3 separate regions of the Mus musculus genome follow, and all the other regions are reported to be linked to region 3. Evidence: microRNA targets listed by miRTarBase, many of them from high-throughput screens and not tested one by one. Region 3 holds a microRNA gene; each other region holds the end of a gene's coding sequence.

Region 1 (3,258 bases), not on the chromosome of region 3:
AGCTGGGCCCTTGGCTTTGCTCCACCGCTGGCCCACTTCGAAACCTGGGAGTGCTTTCTCTCTTAATAAACTGTTTTTACCAGTGTCTGTGTCCCAGGCCCACTTCCTCGTTCCAGGATGTAAGATTCTGGAAATGCCCAGCAGGTTCCCTCAGGACCACACCCCATGCCTGTAACGTCCTAGCTTTCCATCCTCCTGTGGCACACTCACATATACCCCAGGGATGGGCAGACTACCAGCTGCACCGAGCCCCCAATCCCTGATCCCCACTCCCAGCCTCTGCTAAAGCACAGCTCATATCCCTACCTGGAGCCGAGCGTGGGACATTCAGCCACATCTGGAATCTTCCAGATCCAGCCCCTTGAGCAGAACAGGAATTGGCCTTTCAAGGGTTTGGTGCCCTCCCATCCAACTCACAGCGGGGAGAGCTAAGGCTGGAGGTGTAACCCCCTGGAAGGGTGGATGTGGTGCAAGAGAAGAGAGGAAAGAGATGGCTACTCTGTACCTGAAGCCATTGCTATCACCAGGGCCCAAAGCCACCTTGCAGCCAAGCAGGTAGACCCTGAATCTAGCAGGGGTTCCATACTGAGAGTTGAGTCCACGCTGATGACAATGACCCGACTCCACCTGGCCATGAACAAAATGAGCCACACAGGCCCACCCTTCATGCCTCCCCATTGCAGAACCCCCTGTGTAGCAGACGCCCAGACTGAGCAAGCGGCTGGGTAGGTGCTGCTCTAATCTTCAGATGTCCAACTATAGCCTGCCATGTCCCCAGGCCCTGCGCTGCTTTGGGGGTGGAGGGAGAACACACTAACAGGTATGGACATTGATGGTGACTCTGGAACAAGCACAGGTGTCTCCCAGCAGTCCTGAGAGACCTGAGCCTGTCAATTAACCTGGAGAATTATTAAGAGGCCTTACGGTAGCCTACGAGGCTATTCCAGGAAGGCTTAGTAAAGGGGGAAGGCCCTCTCCAGGGACTGCCTCCGCTAGCAGGCAGCCCAGATATTGGGTGCTCCAAGTAAAAGGCAGTGCTGCCTGCCAGCCCTTCTTGCTGCTGTTACCACCCTCTGCTGACATCAGACACAAACTCTGACTTTCCAGTGTGGCGTGAAGATCCTCCAGGCCCTCAGCACTAGAATGGAGCTGCTGTGAATTTAGCAGCTCCAGGGCTCTCAGCCTCCCCAGCCAGCAGATGGCTGTTATTGGTGAAGTCTGGATAAAGATGGCCCTCACAGGCCCATAGGGAGTGACACTATTGGGAAGTGTGGCCTTGTTGGAGGAAGCTTGCTACTGTGGGGTGGGCTTTGAGGTTTCAGGAGCCAGGCCTAGTGGCTCACTGTCTTTTCCTGCGCCTGCAGATCCAGATGGAGAACCGTCAGCTACCTCTCCAGCACCACATCTGCCTGCATGCCGCCATGCTTCCCACCATGATGGTAATGGGCTAAACCTCTGAAACTGTAAGTCAGCCCCAATGAAATGTTCTCCTTTATAAGAGCTGCTGTGGCCATGGCGTCTATTCACAGCAATAAAACCCTAAGACAATTAGGCTACCAAGCCCATTTGTGTAAGCCAGTCTGGCGAACCCACTTTTACAGTATATATACATTCTATTGGTTCTGTTTCTCTAGAGCCCTAATATACAGGCCTTGTTGCCATGTGCTCAAGACCAAACCCTCCAGGGTGCTGTGATATGACACTTACACTCCAGGACTCTGCTCCCAGCAGCTTTGGGGGCTCCAGCCAGATGAAGCAGCTGGGTACATGGCCTGCAATACCCCCACAGAAGCCTTACAGTGACCCATGGGGGGAGACGTCTACCCAAGGAAACCACCGCCCCAATGCGGCCTGCAGGTCCACAGAGCCAAAGTCACAACCCTTGACCTCCATACACGGAGAAACCAGAAACAGCCTCCACCTATTGTAAATATTGTAAAAATCCAGGCACTGTAGAGGATGGACCCAGCAGCAGCTCACGTAAGAAACCCTGATAAGGGGCTTAGAGAGGGATCTGAGGTGGGGCTGGCCAGGGCTCAGCCCTTCATAAACTTCTCTGAGGAGCCAACGTCCCGACCTCAAGAACCTCCTGAAGGGCAGCAATCAGCCAAGAACACTATACTGACAATGACAGTCTCCTCTCCAGACCGGGGCACATTGCCCACAGGCCGATACCCCAGCCATTCCAGGGCAGGTATGGGGCTCACACGAGCCTCAGTAGCTCTCTAAGGGCTCAGGTCTCCCTAGTCTCTTCCCGGGAGGGTTCCCTAAATTCCAGTCTTGTAGAATAGCTGTGGGCAGGACTGGAGAGATGGCTCAGCGGTTAAGATCACCAACTGCCCTTCCAGAGGTCCTGAGTTCAAATCCCAGCAACCACATGGTGGCTCACAACGGTCTGCAATGGGATCTGATGACCTCTAATGGTGTGTCTGAAGACAGCTACAGTGTACTTATATAAATTAAACAAACTATAGCCTTGGGTAAGGTTTGCACCTGAGTCCTGACAACCCTCTCCCTGGACTCCTCTGGTCATGTTGTCCCAGTGACCATGCTCTAGACAGGTGACTTTATTTCTAAAAAAGTGAGGCTCTTTTCAGCCGTGTGGTGAGGCAGCCAGCTGGCCAGTGAGGGAGAGGCAATGTGGGTCTGACTGGAAGGTAGGGGCCCCACAGGCTCTCTGTCCTGGGGGTGGGGGGAGGGCTAAGGGAAGAGCCCCAGAGCAGCACAGTAGACCCCCACATCCCTCAGCCAGCCACGGGCTCCGAGTTCCCCTTGAGTTCCCCTCGGTGCTGGGATCTGTGGCTAGCACTGGGAGGGTGAGAGTCCGGGAACGCAGGAACAGTAGTGACAGTAAGCTCAGAAACCCTTGTCTATGCTCAAGGTGCGGCGTGTGACGTGCTCCAGCTCCCCAGACACATAGTCTGCCATGCTGATGCGGTAGTGTGCCAGCATCTTCAGCATCAGCCGCAGATTCAGCCACCACTGCTCCCGGGGCATGCGGTGCCTGCGCAGGTCAAGGTTGGATAGTTAGTTACAGAACTGAATCCCGAGATCCCTTAAACCCCGAATACCTAGTCGCCATCATGACCAGGGTATACAGGGTACATCTGGGTGCCCCATTCCTCTGGCTGGGAGTGAGGGGAAGTACTTCTGAGGTAGACTCAGATGCAAGAGTCACAAACCCTCCCCAGACCACCCTGTGCTGGCCATTGAACGCATGGACAAGACTCCTGTTCTTCAAAGCCTGCTAGGGGCCCT
Region 2 (3,258 bases), not on the chromosome of region 3:
AGGGGAATACTTTCCTTTATTCTCAGTGATACAGCTATCATGTCTTTTGCCTGATGAGTTCAGTGTTTAAGCAAAGAGGACACAGGGAAGAATCACTCTTTGTTGGAGGGGAGAATTCTCCCCCTTTTAAAGCAAACAGCAAAGTTGGCCAGGAGCTCCTGAAATCTGTGGTATCTGGAAAGGCCCACTGAATTTCATCCCCCTGCCCTCTGACAAAGATGTCCTTGTTCTCCCTGCCCGTGGCCCTGTGCTCAACTGCCTCCACCATTTGTGTATACTGCAGTAACTGTGACACTGTCTTCCTACAGGGTACGGCATCATGACCGACGGTTACACCACCTACATCAATGCCTCAACCTGTACAGTCAGCTTTCAACCGACCAACCCTCCAATCATATTTGACCTTCCAAACCCACAGGGCTCCTAAAGCACTCAGCATCCCGTTGGAATGTGAGGGACGGTCTACAAACTGCCATTTTTCTAATTATAAACTCACATTCTCTGATTTGTTTATTTCTAAATCCTGTGAGTTCTTTTTGTAAATTGTTGGAACAGGAGGGAAAAGAAAAAAGAAAAAAAAAAAGATGCTAGCGTTGTGCCGCCTCTTTTTTGCTTTTTTGAGTGGGGTATCCATTTGAAATCAAAGGAACATTGTGAATTTGTAAAATGACTTCTGTTTGCTCAAAGGCCACGCCATTGTAAATTGTTAGTATTTGCCAAAGGACAGCCAAGCTTTCTTTAAAAAAAAAATGATTATTTTAAAAAGTCTTATTTGAATATGCTTTAAGCTGAAAGGAAAAGATTAAAAAAAAAAAAAAGACAGAAAGAAACACAAAAGCAGTGTTTTGAAAAATCACCCAGATTTGCACAACTCTGAGTATTGTTTGATATGTTTTAATTTTCAATGTTTTGTTGTTGTTTTCTTGGTATTGCCTCATTTTTATTTTACAAATGTGGCCCCAATTTAGAGCAATCTCAACAGAAGTTGGTTAGGAAAAACCTTAGCTTCTCTCTGGCTATAAAGAAGACTGTGTCTGAGGTGGGGGAAGAACAGCCCTCATGCAGAGGCTTAGCCAGAGATCCATATCATGATGCTACCAACTCTCACTGTTTGTTTCTTTTAAATTATTTGAGCTTTAAAAATAAGGAAACAAGAATCTGTCAAGAGATGGTCATGCAAGGAAAAAGAAAGTGTGCAGACTCCCTTTCCATGTGGATTTATATATATATATATATAACTATTTTTTGTGCATTACGACTCAGTTGGGAGTTTAATCTTGCCAAGGACAGTACAACTGCAAAGCCACATCGGTAGCAGCACACCAGACGTCTGAAGGAACTGACCCATTCTTTCTTCAAACTCAAGGTCTTAAAGAACTTGAGTCCAGTCTAGGTACAGTAACCAGTGTGTATAGACTCCAGTGGATGCATCGGAAGCGAACTAAATAAGGCTTAGTCGTCCTTTCTATTTAAAGGCCCTGTTTTGTCTTCTCACTCCCCTCCCCCTCCCATTTTGCACTGTGTGTTGATGCAATCTTCGCTAGCACAAAATATTGTTGCTAATAATCCTTTCTGGTCTCCCATTGTCGATGCCATTGAGCGCTATTCTATTTTATGTTACCTTCAAATTTAGGAAAGCAGTTGTTTTCTTTAAATTTATTGTGATACTCTATATCTAGCGGCCTTTATATGCAAATAAAATTGCAAGATTTTTAAATCGGTGCTGCGTGGTTGGGCTGCCTGGGGGAGGGCGGGGTAGGTTTGTCCTGGGGCTAAGATGGTTTATTTACATGCGATTTGAGTAATCCCCTTCTGAACAATTAGAATAGTGGGTTTGTTTTTCTAATTTTTCAATAACTGTTTATGGCCTACCAATCCCAGGCTGTCAGGTCCATTGACAAGAGGTTCTCCCTGCAGCACACTGGGGATCTGGTTTGTCTCGTCTTAGATTGCAGAAGGTGCAGCTTCCATCTTTGGCCACTGTAATGTATGGGGACAGAAAGACTGACAAGGCTGTGACTGCTGTTTGGGATGTGACAGTGGTAGTGAGCAGAGGGCGCCTCAGAGGACAGACACCCTCTCACTAAAACATTCTCATTTATCCTCATGACGTGCAGTGGTCACCCCCACCCCATGGTTTCATTTCTGTTTGAATGAGTCCACTGACATGTTTTTTTTTTTCCAATGAGAAGCTGGGGCCAGTGGTAGGCTGGGGAAATTGTATATACCTCTTTCATTTTGTCTAGATCAGTGGTTCTCAACCTTCCTAATGCTGCAACCCTTTAATACAGTTCCTCATGTTGTAATAACCTCTAACCATATAATGATCTTGTTGTTACTTCATAACTGTTATGTCACCACTGTTATGAATCATAATGTAAATATAGGATGTTCAGGATGTCTGATAGTTGACCCTTGTAGTGGTTGTGACCCTCAGGTTGAGAATAACCATTGAGGAAAAGCACCTTGCTATTGTTGTTTGTAGGGCCTTTGCTTGTTTATAGAAGGTTATTTTGTGTTTTATTTTATTGTTGTTTCCATTTTCTGAAACAGTGTCTCAGATAACCCAGGCTGACCTAGAACTCTGTGTAACAGAGGAGGACCTTGAACTCTTGACCCACCTGTCTCCACTTTTTAACTGTGGGGGTTTACAAGTGAACATCCCCGCACCCCGAATTGCAACAAGATCTTAAATCTGTGCTAAGTCTGTGCCCACTGCATTGCATTTCCGTTCGGTCTAACTATTGTGATTCTTCTGATGCTATTCCTGGAAGGAATTCTTGATTTCAGCACCAGCTGGAACAGTCTTCTTCAAACGACAGCACAAATTCTCATAATTATCTCTGTCCATTTTAGCTGCGTCTCTTAGGCTTGTCCGTTTCTGATCTGACACTGTGCAACGGGTGCGTGGGCTTCCAGACGAGAAGAGTCTGTGACTGTGGGAGCTGAGATGGATGAGGTCCTGAGAGAAGCTCACAATCCTCCCTTAATCTGCTGACTTGGTGTGAAGATTGTTGCCTTGGTGCCCTTTCCTAGGGGATGGACAGAGATGCAAAGTACTGAAAAGACATTTCACCTGGCTGTTAACCATGACGTGAGCTCAGACATCTCTACAAGGCAAAGGAAGATCTCCAGGGATGGAGGGATGGTCCTGAGGACATGGGTGTGTACACAGCCCTGGAAACCACATTTGAGCACCAACAGATTAAGTGAAACACTTGCTAAATTTGCCTTCCAGTGTGTACTCTTAGGAAATGG
Region 3 (3,258 bases):
AGCATGTTACCATTAATGGGCAAAGACATCTAACATTACAACCATTGTTTATTGTGATATTTTTATTATTGTTTACTAGATTTTGTACATGCTTTTTTTCCTAGGTCAGTCCTTTGCAACCTTACAGCTCTGGAGAGTCATGAGCCATTTAAGGAAATCAATAAATGATTACCTGATCACCTCTACCTAGGTATTACACAAGGTAAAGGAAGAAATAGAAACATGAATTTTCTTTGTGAGCTTGTACTTGTGGATACCTGAAGTCCTAAGATTCCTTCATATTTTCATTCTATCTTTAGAGATCAGGCCCTGTCATAAAACCTGGATAATTTTGAATTGTTTTATTTGATTAATACATTCCTGAAGGTAGAAATAAGATTACAGCTTTATATGCATCAGAAAATGCTATGGCCTCTTTAAAACCACACATTAAGGAATTGAAAGTGGTCTGCAACCCTATAGCAAGAAGAACAATATCAATTATTTAGACTCACTCTCCCAGAAGTCCCAGGGACAAAACCATCAAAAAGAGTTCAAAAAGAGGGACCTAGGTCTCCATGCTCATAGGTAGCAGAGGAAAGCATTGCCAGGCATCAATCACTGGAGAGGCCCTTAGTCCTGAGAAAGCTTTATGACCCATTCTAGGAGAATACCAGGGCAGGGTGCCAGTATTTTGTGTGTAATTGGGTAAAGTAACATACTTATATAAGATTTCCCAGGGGGTTCCTGTGGAGGACTCTGGTAAAGGGTGTAACATCTGAAATGTAAATATAAAATATCCAAAAAAATGGAAAACAATACCACACTTCAAATATTTTCCATCCACCATATTTGATGTGAATAATATAGCACACAAACATTGTTTACAACACTGAGTTGCATTTATTATATTTCAGATTTATGGACCACTGCAGCTTTTCATTGAAACTGAGTAATCATGGACTAGGGAATGGGCAGAATATTAACCTTGGTATTAAAACAATTCTTTCTAGATGCAAGAATAAATAATATTTTTTCAAGTAAAGAGTATATACAGAGCATACAATTGTTAAATTGGAAAAGGAGACAAAGGCACAATACAATTGCCCAGTAGGCAGCAAAAATGTCAAGAAATACGGTGAGTGGGCTCAAAAGCTAACAGAGCATCCCTGTAAAATAGCTTAAAGATAATCAATAAGGCAGAAATAGGACCACCCCAAAGTGTTCAGTGAGGTATTTTTCTGTAGGTCAGTGAAGAGAAGAGAGGGTAAAACAGTTTTTTTCTGCACTTCACTTTCAATTATTCTCATTTCTTCTGGGAAGGCAGGGAGGAGTGTATGAGTTATGAATCACCAGCACTGATGTAGATATCCAAGGTTACTGCAGGCTCTGCTGTCCATGCCTAGATATGAGATCTCTCTTCTGATTGGATCTCATTCCATTCTCTATTTGAATGCACATTCTCCATCAATCAGAAGCCAGGAGACCAAATAAATTGGTCTGCAGGGAAGGATTTGATCAGTCAGGCTTCTGGCTATATTCCAGGACTTACCTGGTCCTGGATATAACCAAAGCCTGACTATATGGTGCTAAAGACAAGGAAGAGTGCTTCTGTAACTGACAAGAGATGGAGCCAGTGGACAGCTCCAAGCAAACTGCTTTTTTTTGTTTCAGAGCCTCCATTCTCTGATTCTTTGGCTCCTAGTTCCTGTACAGGGAATGCCTCCACATGTGAAATTCAGGCATCTGCTGTCCATTTCTTGCCTCGGTCATGCAGGGCTGTGCCTTCTGTAATGAAGATACAACATTCAATCTTCAGCTTGTGACACAGACTACAGAACAATTTTGGCATTTTCATGTTTTTAGATCAGCCACTGTGAGTACCACGATGGCAGCAGAGGTGCTCAACATACCAGATTTGAGTATAAGAAAAATTAGATGTGATTAACAGGCAGAGAAACTACCATACCCACAATCCAAGCAGTGTTATGACAGTGATGCTGGTAGCATGTTACCATTAATAGCCAAAGGCATTCAACATTGCAACCATTGTTTATGGTGATACTTTTGTTGTTGTTTACTAGATTTTCTAAATGCTTTTCTCTCAGGTTGTCCTAAGATTTCATGATATTTTCATTCTATTTTTTTTTTTGAAATCAGGTCTCTGTCATAAAATCTGTATAATTTTGAACTGTTTTATTTTATTAATACATTCCTGAAGGTAGAAATAAATTTACAGCTCTATATGCATCAGAAAATGCCATGACCTCTTTAAAACCAAACATTAAGGAACTGAATGGGATTTGCAACCCTATAGGAAGAACAACATTATCAACTATACATAGCCCCCATAGAGGTCCCAGGAATTAAACCACCAACCAAAGAGTACACAAGGAGAGAACCATGTCTCCAGCCTCATAAGTAGCAGAAGAATTCTGAGTCAGGCTTCAATCAGAGTAGAGGGGCTTGTCTCTCATAAGGCTAAATGCCCCAATGTAGGTGAAAGCCAGGGTGGGGTAGTGGGATTGTGTGTGTGGAGAACATCCTCATAGCACCAGTGGGAGGGGAGATTGGACAGGTTTCTCTGGGAGGGAATTGTGGAATGGGCATACAATTTTAAATTTAAATAAGAAAATATCCAGTATAGAAATATAGAAAACAATCCACACATTAAATATTCCACATATACCATATTTTGATGTGAATATTCATACCATGTAAGCATTGTTTCAACACTCAGTAGCATTTATTATTTTTCAGATTTATGGAAAACTGCAGCTTTTAATACCACCCGAATACAGGTAGAGCTAGGCATGAGCTGAATATTAAACTAAATAGACAAACACCTCTTTGTGGATACATATTATATTTTCAAGGAAAGTTCATACACAGAGCATGTAACAGATAAATTGGATAAGTTGAAAAATGCACATCACAATTGTTCAGCAGGCAGCAAAATACAGAAGATTAATGTTACAATAAGTGGGCTAAAAAAGAAACAGCACATTTCTGGCTAATAGCTTAAAGCTAGGCAGAAGGAGCCAGAAATAGGACCATCCCCCAAGATTCTACTGACTTCTTTTTCTGTAAGTCAGTGCAGAGAAAAGAAGGTAAAGCAGGTTTTTTTTTCTGCCCTTCACTTTCAATTTATCAATTTCCTTCTGGGAAACTAGGGTGGAGGGGGTTGAGGTATCAATAAGCAGTACTGATGGAGATCTCCAAGGTAACTGCAGGCTTTGATGTCAATGCCTAAATATGAGCTCTATCTCCTGATTGGAT

The links. Region 3 holds the annotated microRNA mmu-miR-344e-3p (GAUAUAACCAAAGCCUGACUAU, at 1,541-1,562, shown strand). A microRNA usually pairs through its seed, bases 2 to 8, with sites in the 3' UTR of a target mRNA and lowers its output. Matches are read on the target gene's strand: a 7mer-m8 pairs with bases 2 to 8, a 7mer-A1 pairs with bases 2 to 7 and ends in A, and an 8mer does both.
Region 1: the mRNA of Pfkl is a reported target of mmu-miR-344e-3p. Seed matches in the 3' UTR shown: 7mer-A1 at 2,452-2,458.
Region 2: miRTarBase lists Mpped2 as a target of mmu-miR-344e-3p. Seed matches in the 3' UTR shown: 7mer-A1 at 1,219-1,225.

The regions. Positions count from the first base shown.
Region 1 is chr10:77,985,354-77,988,611 of GRCm38, forward strand. Pfkl (phosphofructokinase, liver, B-type) reads right to left here. Exons shown (of 22, transcript NM_008826.5): 22 at 1,594-3,004. The coding sequence ends at 2,857. It overlaps Cfap410 (cilia and flagella associated protein 410), which reads left to right. Exons shown (of 7, transcript NM_026431.2): 7 at 1-85. Among named protein-coding and RNA genes, the nearest start is that of Gm51807, 2.6 kb to the left of the region's middle.
Region 2 is chr2:106,866,640-106,869,897 of GRCm38, forward strand. It overlaps Mpped2 (metallophosphoesterase domain containing 2), which reads left to right. Exons shown (of 7, transcript NM_001143683.2): 7 at 309-1,721. The coding sequence ends at 427. Among named protein-coding and RNA genes, the nearest start is that of C130023O10Rik, 50 kb to the left of the region's middle.
Region 3 is chr7:61,733,843-61,737,100 of GRCm38, reverse strand. It overlaps Mir344e (microRNA 344e), which reads left to right and starts at 1,499; the gene lies at 1,499-1,564. All of the region lies in intron 6 of A230057D06Rik (RIKEN cDNA A230057D06 gene), which reads left to right.